3 linked regions of the Ovis aries genome follow. The protein of the gene in region 2 interacts with the protein of the main gene of each other region in a pairwise test. Links are inferred from orthologs where the notes say so. Each region holds a gene or a part of one and is shown on either strand. Other genes may lie near its edges.

Region 1 (3,744 bases), on a different chromosome or scaffold from region 2:
CTTGGGTTCTATTTTTTTAATCTGTCCCCTTATTTTTAAAATAACAAGTATCTAGCTATAAAGACAGATACTTTCTAGAACCACGGGCCATTTCCACCTGATAAAGGAAGACTTAACAAGGCAATAGGACAGGTTAAGAGACAGCCATTGTATTGGGATCACCTGTGATTTTACTGGCACCCAACCTCGCACATATAAAGACACCCAGGGTTTGGGCAAACAGGCCAGTGCTGCAGGCAGTTAAGCTGAGCTGGGTCAAACAGAAAAACCTGAGTTTTCTATGCTTAATTCTGTCAAATAGTTTATGGTGTGCCAAAAAAAAAAAAAAAAAAGAAAATAGTCTTTGGTTTACCCTAATGAACTTTTACAAGTTTCTCTTTCTGGTGAAGAGAGAAAGATGGTTTCATATGTATGATACAGTCTTACCCTTAGAAGTCAACAGATCGCCAATCTAATGAAACAGAAAGGTTTCTGAAGCCATTGCAACTCCTTAAATAAAGCTACCTTTTTTATTAATTATAAAAAATAAAATACTCCAGCATTTAAAAAAAAAAACTACCTTTTATTTTTAAATTTTATTTCAGTGGTAGGGAAAATAAAATAGGAAAGTAGCCAGTGAGGTTCAAGAAAAAAAGCAGAACTTGCAATTCAAGTCTCCATCTTTCTGAAAGAGAAGAAATGTCAGTACTATTCCATCACTTGCAATTTAAAAAACCAGCATGTAAAAATAATGCTTTTCAGAACAGTTTATAATAATAAAGGCGATTTGCTCAGGTGAGACGGCAACGTCAGGCTCAACAGCATTTCACCTGGGTTGCACCCACGAACAACTGTGTTAAGAGTAAAATCTTGTGTTATTTTGCATAATATTTGGCTTGGTCTTGGAGCTCTCCTGTCTTCTCCATTTAAATAGTTCCCATTTTACAAGTGCTGAGGGCTTAAGTGTATTAAGTCCTCAGCAACCTTGGGCTTCACAATCAGAATTTTAGTTTACACACAACATAGTATTTCCATAATCATCTCAACACCCTAACCGCTTAGAAATCAGTTCACCTTTCTGTAAGAATGCTTTTATCTAGACTGCATACTTTCTTGCATCTACACATACTCTTAAGTTCCTTTTGGAATGTTTCAGAAGTCAATTTCCTGGGCTTTTCAAAAGGTAGGCGGAAAACAGTGTTTACTGGGTTCTAGATAATGCACCTACAAGTACAGAGCCCCATTTAACAAGATAACGCAAATATCCCAACTACAAAATTCTGAAAGGATTGTTCAGGAGTTCCCCGACATGTACTGAGTTTTGTTTCTACCAAAGGAACGCTCTGCAGCCGCAACATTTTTACCGTTGTTAGGGACGCACCACATAAAATTTACGCTCAGACGTCAAAGTCCTATTAAAACAGTCTGGATCAACACTTCGCGAGTTGCAAAGTCTGAAACTCCAGCATGCTGCGCCCCACAACCGCAACGCCCCTAAATTTACAAAACCTAATCAGCCAGGTTCGGGGTCTTTGACTCATCAGAGAAGAATGCGGCTGATGAGTTATCTATTAATCCAAAACGCCTTAGCTGGGAAAGATATTTCACCGAGAACTTTTCGCATAGAAACTGTGGGGGTTGGGGGGGGGCAGGGAACGGAAGGTGTCTTTTCATGAGAACTTTCCCCGAGTTTCTTCCCTAAACCACACAAACACACACCCCACAACTTCCAGCCCCGGACCCAGCACTAAGTGCTGACCCTCCGGGTCCCAATCATCTGAGGTCACCCAGGAGTCAGCTCTCGATTCCGCTTTTAAAATCCGGGGCAAACAAAGCTGACCATTATACTTACAGAGGTCTCGGGAAAGTCCTCAAAGTTACGCAATTTTCAGGCACGCAGACGCGCGTGGACCCACCAAAACACACTCTCCGATGATACACCCTCATCCCGTGGCCGCAGTCTGGGGCTGCGTCTCCACGCCAGGACGATTCCCAAACCCTCGGTGCCCCTTCCCCAGCGCAGCCCGGCGCCCCCGGACCCGCGCCCCGCCGGCCGGCCGGCCAGCCACCCGCACTCTGGGCAGAGCCCGCGGCCGCCGTCCCAGGTCGTCCCCGCCCCGGCACCGAGCCGCTCCGTACCTCTTCCTCCTGAAGGTTGGCCTCGCTCGGGGTGTTCTCCTTCTCGGCTTTGCCGCCGTTGTTCATCTTCCCGGTCCTCCCTCGCCGGGCAGGGCTGGGGCGCGGGGCTGGGCGAGGGCGCGCTCGCCCACTTCTCCCTTCCCCGGACGCCGCGGGCTGGAGTCGGGGCAGCGGCGGCCGGCGACTCAGGAAGTGCGAGGGGAAGACGGCGCAGGGCGAGGCGCCGGCGCAGCGCGGAGGGGACGGAGACAATCGCGACCCGCGAGGGAGACCTGGGGCGGGCGGGCGGGCGCGAGGGAAGGCAGGAAGGAAGAAAGGACGGGGCGAGGACGCGCGTCCCGGGAGTGAGTCCGCAGAGTTGGGGATGTGGCCGAGAGGGGCTGGGGGGCGGCCGCCGGCGCGGGCGTAGCAGCTGCTGGAAGGAGGGGCGAGGCGTACCCCGAGAGGAGCGGGAGGGAGGTGCGGGGCGGCGGGGACCCGGAGAGCCGCCGAGTGCGCGCTCCTGGCTGGCTCTGGGAGGTCCGGGCTCCGAGCAGCTCCCCTTCTCTCGCCTGCCTCCCTCCCCCCGCTCCCTCCTCCCTCCCCTCCTCCTCTCCCCGCCCTCCCTGGACGTGGGCTGCCGGCTGGAGCCCGGAGGGACGGGACGAGGGACGGCAGAGCCCCCCGCGGGAGGAGGGGCCGCGCCGAGGGCTGCGGCCCCGCGGCCGGATGGCGCGCGCTGGGGAGGGGCGGCGGGCGGCGGGCGGAAGCGGCGGACCCCGGCCCCCGGCTCCGCGGTAGGTCGGAGGGCGAGGGCCGAGGGGGAGGGCCGAAGGCTGGGTCCGCCTGGCACCTGGAGGCCGCCGGGCCGTGCGCGCAGCTCGGAGCGGGGCTCGGGCGCCCGGGAAGTGTGATGTGTTACTTTTGTGTGCTTGCTCGCTCTTCACGAGGGATTCGCTCCCCAATCCCTCCCCCTCCTCTTCAGTACCTAGTGGGCAGCTGGTAATGACAGGATGCGGGAACTGGGGTGACGTCCGGGGGCAGCCGGGGCCGGGCCGGCGTTTTCAGGGCGCATCTTCAGACCCCATCTCCGCGCCGGGTCCTCCGAAACTTCTCCGGCCGCCCTTGCTCGGACTCCTCTACGGCCCTTATCAGACTGTCCTGGAATTGTTTACCTGCCTCTCTCACCCTTTCGGGAGATCCTTCTTGGAAGACAAGACCGGGCCCTGTTTGTCTTTTGAATCCCATGGCAGTTTGAAAACGCTACCTGGTATATCGTAGGCACTCAATAAATATTTGTTGGTTGAGGGACCATTTCTCACTGCCAGCCGAGCTGGAGGCCAAGACATAATCTGAGGGTCAAAGCCACTGAAAGAAGGGAGACTCAGCATACTGGGAGGTGAGCGTACCATGCCTGTTGGCTCCCCACCCGCCGAAGGAAGAACTGCCTGGTTTCTGCTTCCTCCTCTGAAATAGAAGTAGTTCTATTCCTCTCCCAGAAGCTTGTTATTAGAGGAGATTGTAAATTGATAGATAAAACTATAGCACCTGGCACCCATTCGGACCCAGTTGTTGGCTATACTTGGAAGCTGACATGGTTCATTTCCACTTTTCCTGCGCCACCGAGAACTTTTCCAATATTGTATC
Region 2 (3,644 bases):
AGGCTGGATTGGCCCAGAATGTAGTATAGGAGCCGCAGGAGCCTGGGGCGAGATGTGACGGTGGGTTCCCTACTGGTGTCCCCCAGAGATTCCCTAGTGCCACTTGGCATGTAATCAAGTGCTACGTGTTGAAGTATGAACAGTTGTGTTTTGATCAACTCCCCGGAACACTGACAGCACACACTTGTGTGACACTCTTTACACAGGGGTTGACTTACTCTGACCAGTCCGTGGTGCAAGCTCCCATGTGCCTGCCTGGTGAAGCTGTGGGCTAGGGAGAGTCTGGACACAGAGGGTGGCCACATGACCCTGCCCTTCTAGACGTTACCATCTGGTAGTAACGGGCGTCTCCCCTCCACCCCTACCCCCACCCTGAACATGACAAGGCAGTGTTCAAGCGAGCTCATGACTGGTTGCAGCAGCAAGGCCTGTGTGCACAGGAGCTGACCGTGTTCCAGGTGATTGATGGGATCCAGGTGGGTTTTGTCTGGACCAATTACTTGCCCTCTAACTGGCATCGAGTTCTGCTGTCTTCACCTATACCAGTGGTCCTCAAACTTGAACGTGTATCTGGGTGACCAGGAGAACCTATTCAAACACACTGTTTATCCCCCTCCCAGAGTGTGTGATTCCCTAAGCCGGGGACTGGGGCCCAAGAATGAGCATTTCTAATGAGTCCAAGCTGATGTTGATGCTGCTGGCCTGGGGACCACACTGTGAGGCCCTCTGCTGTCAAGGGCCCAGCTTCTGTCTGGAGGCTAGGAGCTGCCCGACCTCACATCTTGTGTGCCTCAGTGTCCTTCGTGGTTTTTTGTGTGTGGCTCATGGTCACTTCTCTTAGTCCAGCTCTCTTTATCCTGTGTGGTGGGAGACCTACTGGCCCGGGAGCTCAGCCCCCTGATCTTTTACTCTTCCGTTTATCCATCCCTTCCTCACTCATTCATTCGTAGGAAGCCTTTATGGCATCAGAGTGCGTGTGCTGACCCTCCCTATTGCTCTCCACAGGCTTTTTGTCCTGGGCATCGGCTTCTTCTCGCTCTGCTTCCTGATGACGTCTCTGGGAGGCCAGTTCTCGGCCCGGCGCCCGGGGGACTCCCCCTTCACCATCCGCACAGAAGGTATCTTGGTGGGGAAAGGGGTGTAGGGGCTTGGGGTCCTTTGAGCCTCACCCTGCAGGAGTCTTTCTGGGGCCCTCTCCTGGGGGTCTGGCCACTTGGTGGATGTGTGAGTGGTCAGGGCTTTAGCTCTTGACCTGGCTATACTCATCAACCTCCTTCTGGCCCAGGTTCCCAGGTCAGGAAGGGCCTTTGAGCCAGGAGCTCCCCAGCATCACAAGGGGCGGCCTGTGTTGCTCCACTAGTGGGGCAGTTTGGGGTCTCTGGATATGACCCCTGTCTCTCTGAGACACATGCTGTCTGCCCCTTTGGCCCAGGGTGTGGCCACAGCACAGGCGAGACTGGCTGTGGGCTCATGTGTCTTATCTCCAAGCTCTGTGGTTCTTTGTCCCTGCCCACGTGATACTTGTGAGGCAGGGGAATGGAGGTTCAGAGCGTGGGCTCTGGGGACCAGATGGGCTTGGTTTGTACCTGGTTCATCACCTACCAGCTGGGTGCCGTTGGCCAGGTCACTTAACTCACTTGCGGAGAAGGAGAGGCGTGACTGTTTTCAGGGGTCAGATTGGATGAGCTCACGCGGCACGGGGTGTGACCGGGTGATGGTCTGGGAGACCTCCTCCTGAAGGTGGGTCCTGCCCCTCTCCATCCTGCTCAAGGAAGAATGGAGAGCGGTTCAGAAAGTCCTGCTCGGTGTGTCATGGGGGCTCTCCCGGTAACTGTGGGAAGGAGGGACATATTGGGGAAACTGAGGCAAGGGGGAGTTTCTGGAACTGTTCAGGGGGCTGCTCTGTGGACTCTCCCCTTCCCCCCACTTCCCGGGAAGTCTTTGTTTGACATCCACCTTCTCGAATCCCCAGGCCTCATCTTTCTGACTCCCCTCTTCCCAGTGACGGATAAACCCTCCAGCAGGAGGGGTTGTTGTCTGGGGTGGGTGCTCTAAGGGGCACTTACTCTGCCATCTGGTGTCTCCTGTTTAGATTCATCCCTTCAGTTTAACATGCACTTCTCTTAACTTGTAAAAATCTCCCAGCAGGAATTTCACATTTATTAGTCACTCAAACCTGAATGCAAATGAATCTGCCCCTTCTCTGATTCATGGAGGTCCCTCGGTCTCTTTGAGTCTCCGTCTTCTCCTCTGGTAAACGGGGCTAACAATGCCCACTTCCCCATGATTGCATGAGGGGGCGTGAAGATAACATAGATGAAGGGTCTTGAGCAGCTTCTGGCAGAGAGTGTGAGCTCTGCAAACATTTATGGGATGTGCTGAGTCTGAGACTCAGGAGAGGATGTTTAGGGAAGAGGACCAAAGAGGTGCTAGGACCTGGAAGCTCTGCGTGGGAGACTCCTGAGGATTGAGATTTGAGGTGGGGGTGAGGCAGTTGTGCAGGTGCCCATGATGGGTAGCTTGGGGACGGGTGGGGGGAGGTTGAGAGTCGGGGGTGGGGTATAAGGAGCGATGTTCAGGCTATCTGGGGGCCACCCCAGGCAAGGGGGTGTGTCTGTTTGGGTGGGCTGCCTCGGGGCCTTGGGCAAGCTGACCTCTGAAAGGTCAGGGATCCAGGAGGTGGGAATCAGGCTGGAGGAGGGGCGTATGGGTGTGCTCATTGCCCTGAGGGTGGCCCCATCCTGGCAGCGCTCAGAGGACCAGGGCTTGGGGGGTCTTGCTCTGCTCTGTACTATGCACTTTTGCCTGGCATGGGGAGAAGGGGCCCAGCTCCAACCTAGATCTTGTGTCTAAGGGGAGAGCAGAGCTACCAAGGGGAGAGGACTTGCCCAGGGTCCCTCAGTTAGACTAGAGGCATGTGTGTGTGTGTGCGTGTGTGTGTGTGTGTGCGTGCGTGTGTGTGTGCGTGTGTGTGTTGTGTGTTGCACATGTTTAAACTTTCCATCAGAGTATGTGCTGTGTGTGTGCTTAGTCGCTTCAGTCATGTCTGACTCTCTGTGGCCCATGGACTGTAGCCCGCCAGGCTCCTCTGTCCATGGGGAGTCTCCAGGCAAGGATACCAGAGTGGGTTGCCATGCCCTCCTCCTGGGAATCTTCCAGACCCAGGAATTGAACCTAGATTTCCCACACTGCAGGCGGATTTTTTTACCATCTGAGCCACAGGGAAGCCCTTTTCTATCAGAGTATAGTATTCAGAAACTGAACCTGTCTAGGCACTCAGCAACCTAGATCCAGAGACAGAGCATCATCCGTCCCCAGAAGCACCCTCAGGCTTCCTTCCACTTTCCACTTCCCCGCGGACGCTGGGACCTGACATCTAATAACACAGAGGAGTGTCGCCCTCGGACTTTATGACGATGGCACCCTCTGGCAGGTGTTCGGTTGCCTGCACATTTTTTCTCTCCATATTGCGTTTGTAAGATTCTCCCCTCTCCTGGCGAGTGATTGCCGACACTGCGCAGCATCCATTGTATGACTACGACACAATGTATTTATCCACTCTGCCCCGGGGCGGACCCTGGGCTGTTTCCAGCTTGGGGTGTTCCTGAATTGCGCTGCTATGAACGTTCCAGCACGTGTCTGTG
Region 3 (3,744 bases), on a different chromosome or scaffold from region 2:
GTCCTAGTTACCTGCCCTAACTTAAAAGAGAAAAAGGTTCTTTCCCCTCCCCTCTGACTCCTCTGTGAAACATGAGATCACACTGACAAGAGAGAGTCACCAGGAAGTGAGTAGACATACTCAGGGAAAGGCTTATATCCATCCTACCCTGGATTAAACAGTCACAAAAGCCACGTTCAGCAAACTCACTTCTGTCTTTAAACACCCAGTTCTGCTCTTCACATAAGATGTTCTCAGAGGTTGGGTCTGCAGAGCATAACTGAGGAACAGGGCAGCAGAACTGAGCCTGCCAGGCGGCCTACCAGCTTATCCCCAAGAAATGGCATGTCCCCAGCTCCACCCAGCAATCCAGTGCTCCAGAAAGCCTCTCTCCAGAAACCAGAAGTATTGCATTTTGGAGGGGAGGCAGTTAGGGGTAGGCGGAAGCTCTACCATTAGTTCCACCCACAGGAGGGCTTTGGTCCTTCGAGAGCCTTCCACCTCTGAGTCCCAGCATACCTCTCAACCCTCTCCCTGAGAAGATGGGGTTTCTTTCCTTTGCACATCTGCCCCCAGTGAAAGGGAAACACCAAACACCTGTCCACTGAATTCCAAGGGGTTAAAAACCAAAGGAGCACTTGGGTTGGGCAGGACAGTCACAAGCTAGTAAGTCTCCAGGAGGAAAGGCTCCAGTGGGGTGTGCAAGGTTTTGGTGGCCTGAAGGAGGGAACTGGATAAAAAGGTGGGTAGGGGGATCTGCGCAGCTCCAGGACTCAGGGCAGACTCCTGCTCTCTAGAACACAGCGGAGGGGGAAGAGGAGAGGAGAGGGCCGCAGGAGGCCCAGGCCCACGGAGAACTGGGGAAAAGGCTCTCCAGGCGTGGCCTTCCTCACTGTAGCTCAGGTTTTGTCTTTCTTTAAAACGGCAGACTGCAGAGGACTGCCTGCGAAATGGTATTACAGGACCTGAACTCCTGCAAAAGGAGTTGGCTGGCTCTGGGTGCACCACATTGAGTCCCTGCTAACAGTTTTGGGAGTCTTTCTGGTCCCTTTCTACTCTTGCTTCTAAACAAGGCTTCCTTCAACAAACTGCACAAGGCTGGAGACCACAGCAGACTAGAAAGGCTTCAGGTTCGCTCCAGTTGCCGGGTGCCGAGAAAATCGCCCAGAGTAGGCCAAACCGTGGGCCTGGGCTCCTTCTCTGCCCTCCCGTCCCAACCTCCAGATGCGAGGCCTCTCAAGCCTACAGTCGAAAAGCCTGGAGTGTGTGCGCCCGCGTGGATTTTAATCTGGTCCTGTTTCGACCTCTTTATCTACCCGTCCCCTTAAACTTAGAGAAGGCACTTGGCGAGCCCGAGGCGCCTTTCCCGAGGGCACCTCGGTTCCACCTCCTACCTCGCCGGGTCCAGACTGAACGCCGCTTCCGCCGAGGGAGTAAGGACCGGCTTGGCTGGAGTTGGGGGGTAAGGTCGCGCCCAGCCCACTCCCGCCACACTCGCCTTCGGGCCTGCCGGCCAAAGCCTCCAGGGCTGCTTCCAAGTGTTTCCGACCGGGCGCAAGCCCGGCCCGGCCCCGCCGCGGCCCTTACCTGGCTTGGCGAGCGGCGCCTGCAGCGCCCCGGGCGGGGGCTCGGCGGCCCAGCGCAGCGCGGCGGCCGCAGCCAACTCGGCGGCTGGGCGCGACGGCTGCTGCGACGGCTGCGAGGTCGGCGGCGGCTGCGGGGCGGCGGCGGCGTCTCCCGGCGGCGGGGGTCCCGGCAGGGCGCGCAGCGAGTCGGGGATGAGGCTCTCGAGGCTCTCGTTGGCCTGCTGCCTGCGCAGCGCCACCTGCGCCGCCATGACCCGCTGCCGCTCGATGATGAGGATGCACTTCTCGCAGGTGCAGTCTTTGAAGCGGCAGTAGCGCTTGTGGCCCTTGAGCCAGGACAGCACGCCGTGGTTGCGGCAGCGCGCGCACTTGGGCGTGCGCTGCAGGGGCGCCCGCGGCGGCTGCGACACCGGGCCGCCCATGTACAGGTAGGGGGAGCCGTAGCCGTTCATGCCCCGGGCTCCCGACAGAGCTGGCAAGCTGGCGGCGGGAGCCGGTACGGGGCCGCTGGACGGCGGGGCTGAGAGGCCCTCTCCAAAGCGGCCTCCGGGCGGCGCAGTCCTCGGCCCCGCAGTCCAGGCGGCCTTGAGCGCTTCGGAGTGGCTGGAGGGGCCGCGGCCGTCTTTACGGCTCCCGACGGGCGCTTCCCTACTCCCGAGTCGGCCGAGTCTCCTCCCGCCGCTCCTTTGGCCGGCACGTCCTCCGCGGCCGAGGCGCGGCGGCGGCTGCCGGGAGCCGGCGAGAGCTCTGGTTAAGGTCTGAAGCGGCTCGTCCGCAGCTCCCGCGCGCAGACCGGCCGGCACGTCCTCTGCCGCCCTCCCCCCGCCTCCCTCCCCCGCCACCCCCACCTTCGGGGTCCCGGTCTCCTGGCACTCTCCACCCCACTCCACTCCACGCCTCCTTCCTCCTGCCCGCGCCTCTCGAGACCCTGCGCTTTACTCTCCCTGCTACCTGCCGCCGGGCCACTCTCACGGGGGCGCTCACGGCCCCCTCCTCCGCGCTCCCTGCGCCTCTCCTGCTTGCAAGGGAGGGACTGCAGCACTCGGGACGCGGCAGCGCCCGCGGGGCGGGGAAGGGAGGACCAGCGCGGATGAGGGTGAGGGTGCCTCTGGGCGAGGCGGGTGGCAGTTCCCCTTCAACTCTCTTCCCGCCTCCCTCCAGGCCCGATTTGGCGGCACCGGGCCCAAGGCGGCTTTCATTCCCACACTTGGCCACAGAAACACGGCTCGGGGAGATCCGGAACCTATCTGAGCGCTGCGGATACACTAGGGTCCCGGCGCGAGAAGAGGTTTTATGTTGCGGGGAGCCAGGTCCTGCGGCCACTGGCTGGAGAAATTGGGGGTAGGGCATTTGAACTGGTTCGAGAAATGGGGGCTTTCTTGATTTCTTTTTGCAAAGTTTTTTTTTTTTTTTTCTTTTTGCCGCTGCAGAAGAAAATGCTTTTGAAAACCTGCTGGTCCAAGGATGACGACCCGTTTTGCAGGCTGTTTCAAAGGGGAAAATAGTCCTCCCTCTGTGGCGCAGTTTACCTTTCTACACCTCCACGTTGTAACAAAAAATAAAGTCTCTGTTCTGAAAAGCCGGCAAATGCTCTTTTGGAGTTTGTGTTTAAGCACTGGGTCTAAACTTTCAGAGAGCGAATGAAGGGGCCACGCTAGTGCCCCCCAAGTTACCGCATATGATCTGAACCCTGCCCAACGGTCTTTGAGAAATCAAACGGAGGTCTCGCATCACCCCATTCAAATGCCCACGGACTCAGCAATCTAGTTATGAATAAGGGACGGGGCCACCCCACCCCCACACCAGTGTCTTTGGGTGGGAGAGGGCCTTTGCACAGATGACTGTAAAACTTTGTTTAAAGTGATACTTGTGTGTATGGGTTATGGCCTAAAGCAGAATACCTCCGCAAACACACAGAGATGCTCCCCTAATGGGAGAAAACAAGAAAAGCAGTGGTTACTGCGGCGCAGGGTAGCACAACGGCTCAGTGCGAAGAGGCGCGATGGCAATCCCGGAGCCGTCTTCAGAAGGCAGGCTTCAGAGAGCACCCTGAATTCATCTCTTGGCGGTCTGGACGAATCCAATGCGAATCCGGAGCGTAGACCAGTCGGCTGCAATGGTCAACCGGTCGGCGCCTCTCAGCTTTATTCTGCACTGCTTTGGAAGCAAACGAACAACC

What was found.
Region 1: the proteins of MGAT5B (region 2) and RBPMS interact in a two-hybrid assay, tested with the Homo sapiens proteins (2 studies listed by BioGRID and IntAct). The two-hybrid records come from large-scale screens. The link is inferred for Ovis aries from reciprocal best matches to the Homo sapiens genes MGAT5B and RBPMS.
Region 3: the proteins of MGAT5B (region 2) and DMRT3 interact in a two-hybrid assay, tested with the Homo sapiens proteins (2 studies listed by BioGRID). The two-hybrid records come from large-scale screens. The link is inferred for Ovis aries from reciprocal best matches to the Homo sapiens genes MGAT5B and DMRT3.

What each region holds. Positions count from the first base shown.
Region 1 is NC_056079.1:25,628,324-25,632,067, reverse strand, and holds the start of RBPMS (RNA-binding protein with multiple splicing), read right to left. Parts: upstream 2,633-3,744; 5' UTR 2,185-2,632; coding exon 2,119-2,184; intron 1-2,118.
Region 2 is NC_056064.1:54,304,655-54,308,298, reverse strand, and holds part of MGAT5B (alpha-1,6-mannosylglycoprotein 6-beta-N-acetylglucosaminyltransferase B), read left to right. Parts: intron 1-1,005; coding exon 1,006-1,118; intron 1,119-3,644. UniProt on the Homo sapiens protein: Glycosyltransferase that acts on alpha-linked mannose of N-glycans and O-mannosyl glycans.
Region 3 is NC_056055.1:69,238,687-69,242,430, reverse strand, and holds the start of DMRT3 (doublesex- and mab-3-related transcription factor 3), read right to left. Parts: upstream 2,293-3,744; 5' UTR 2,018-2,292; coding exon 1,567-2,017; intron 1-1,566. UniProt on the Homo sapiens protein: Probable transcription factor that plays a role in configuring the spinal circuits controlling stride in vertebrates.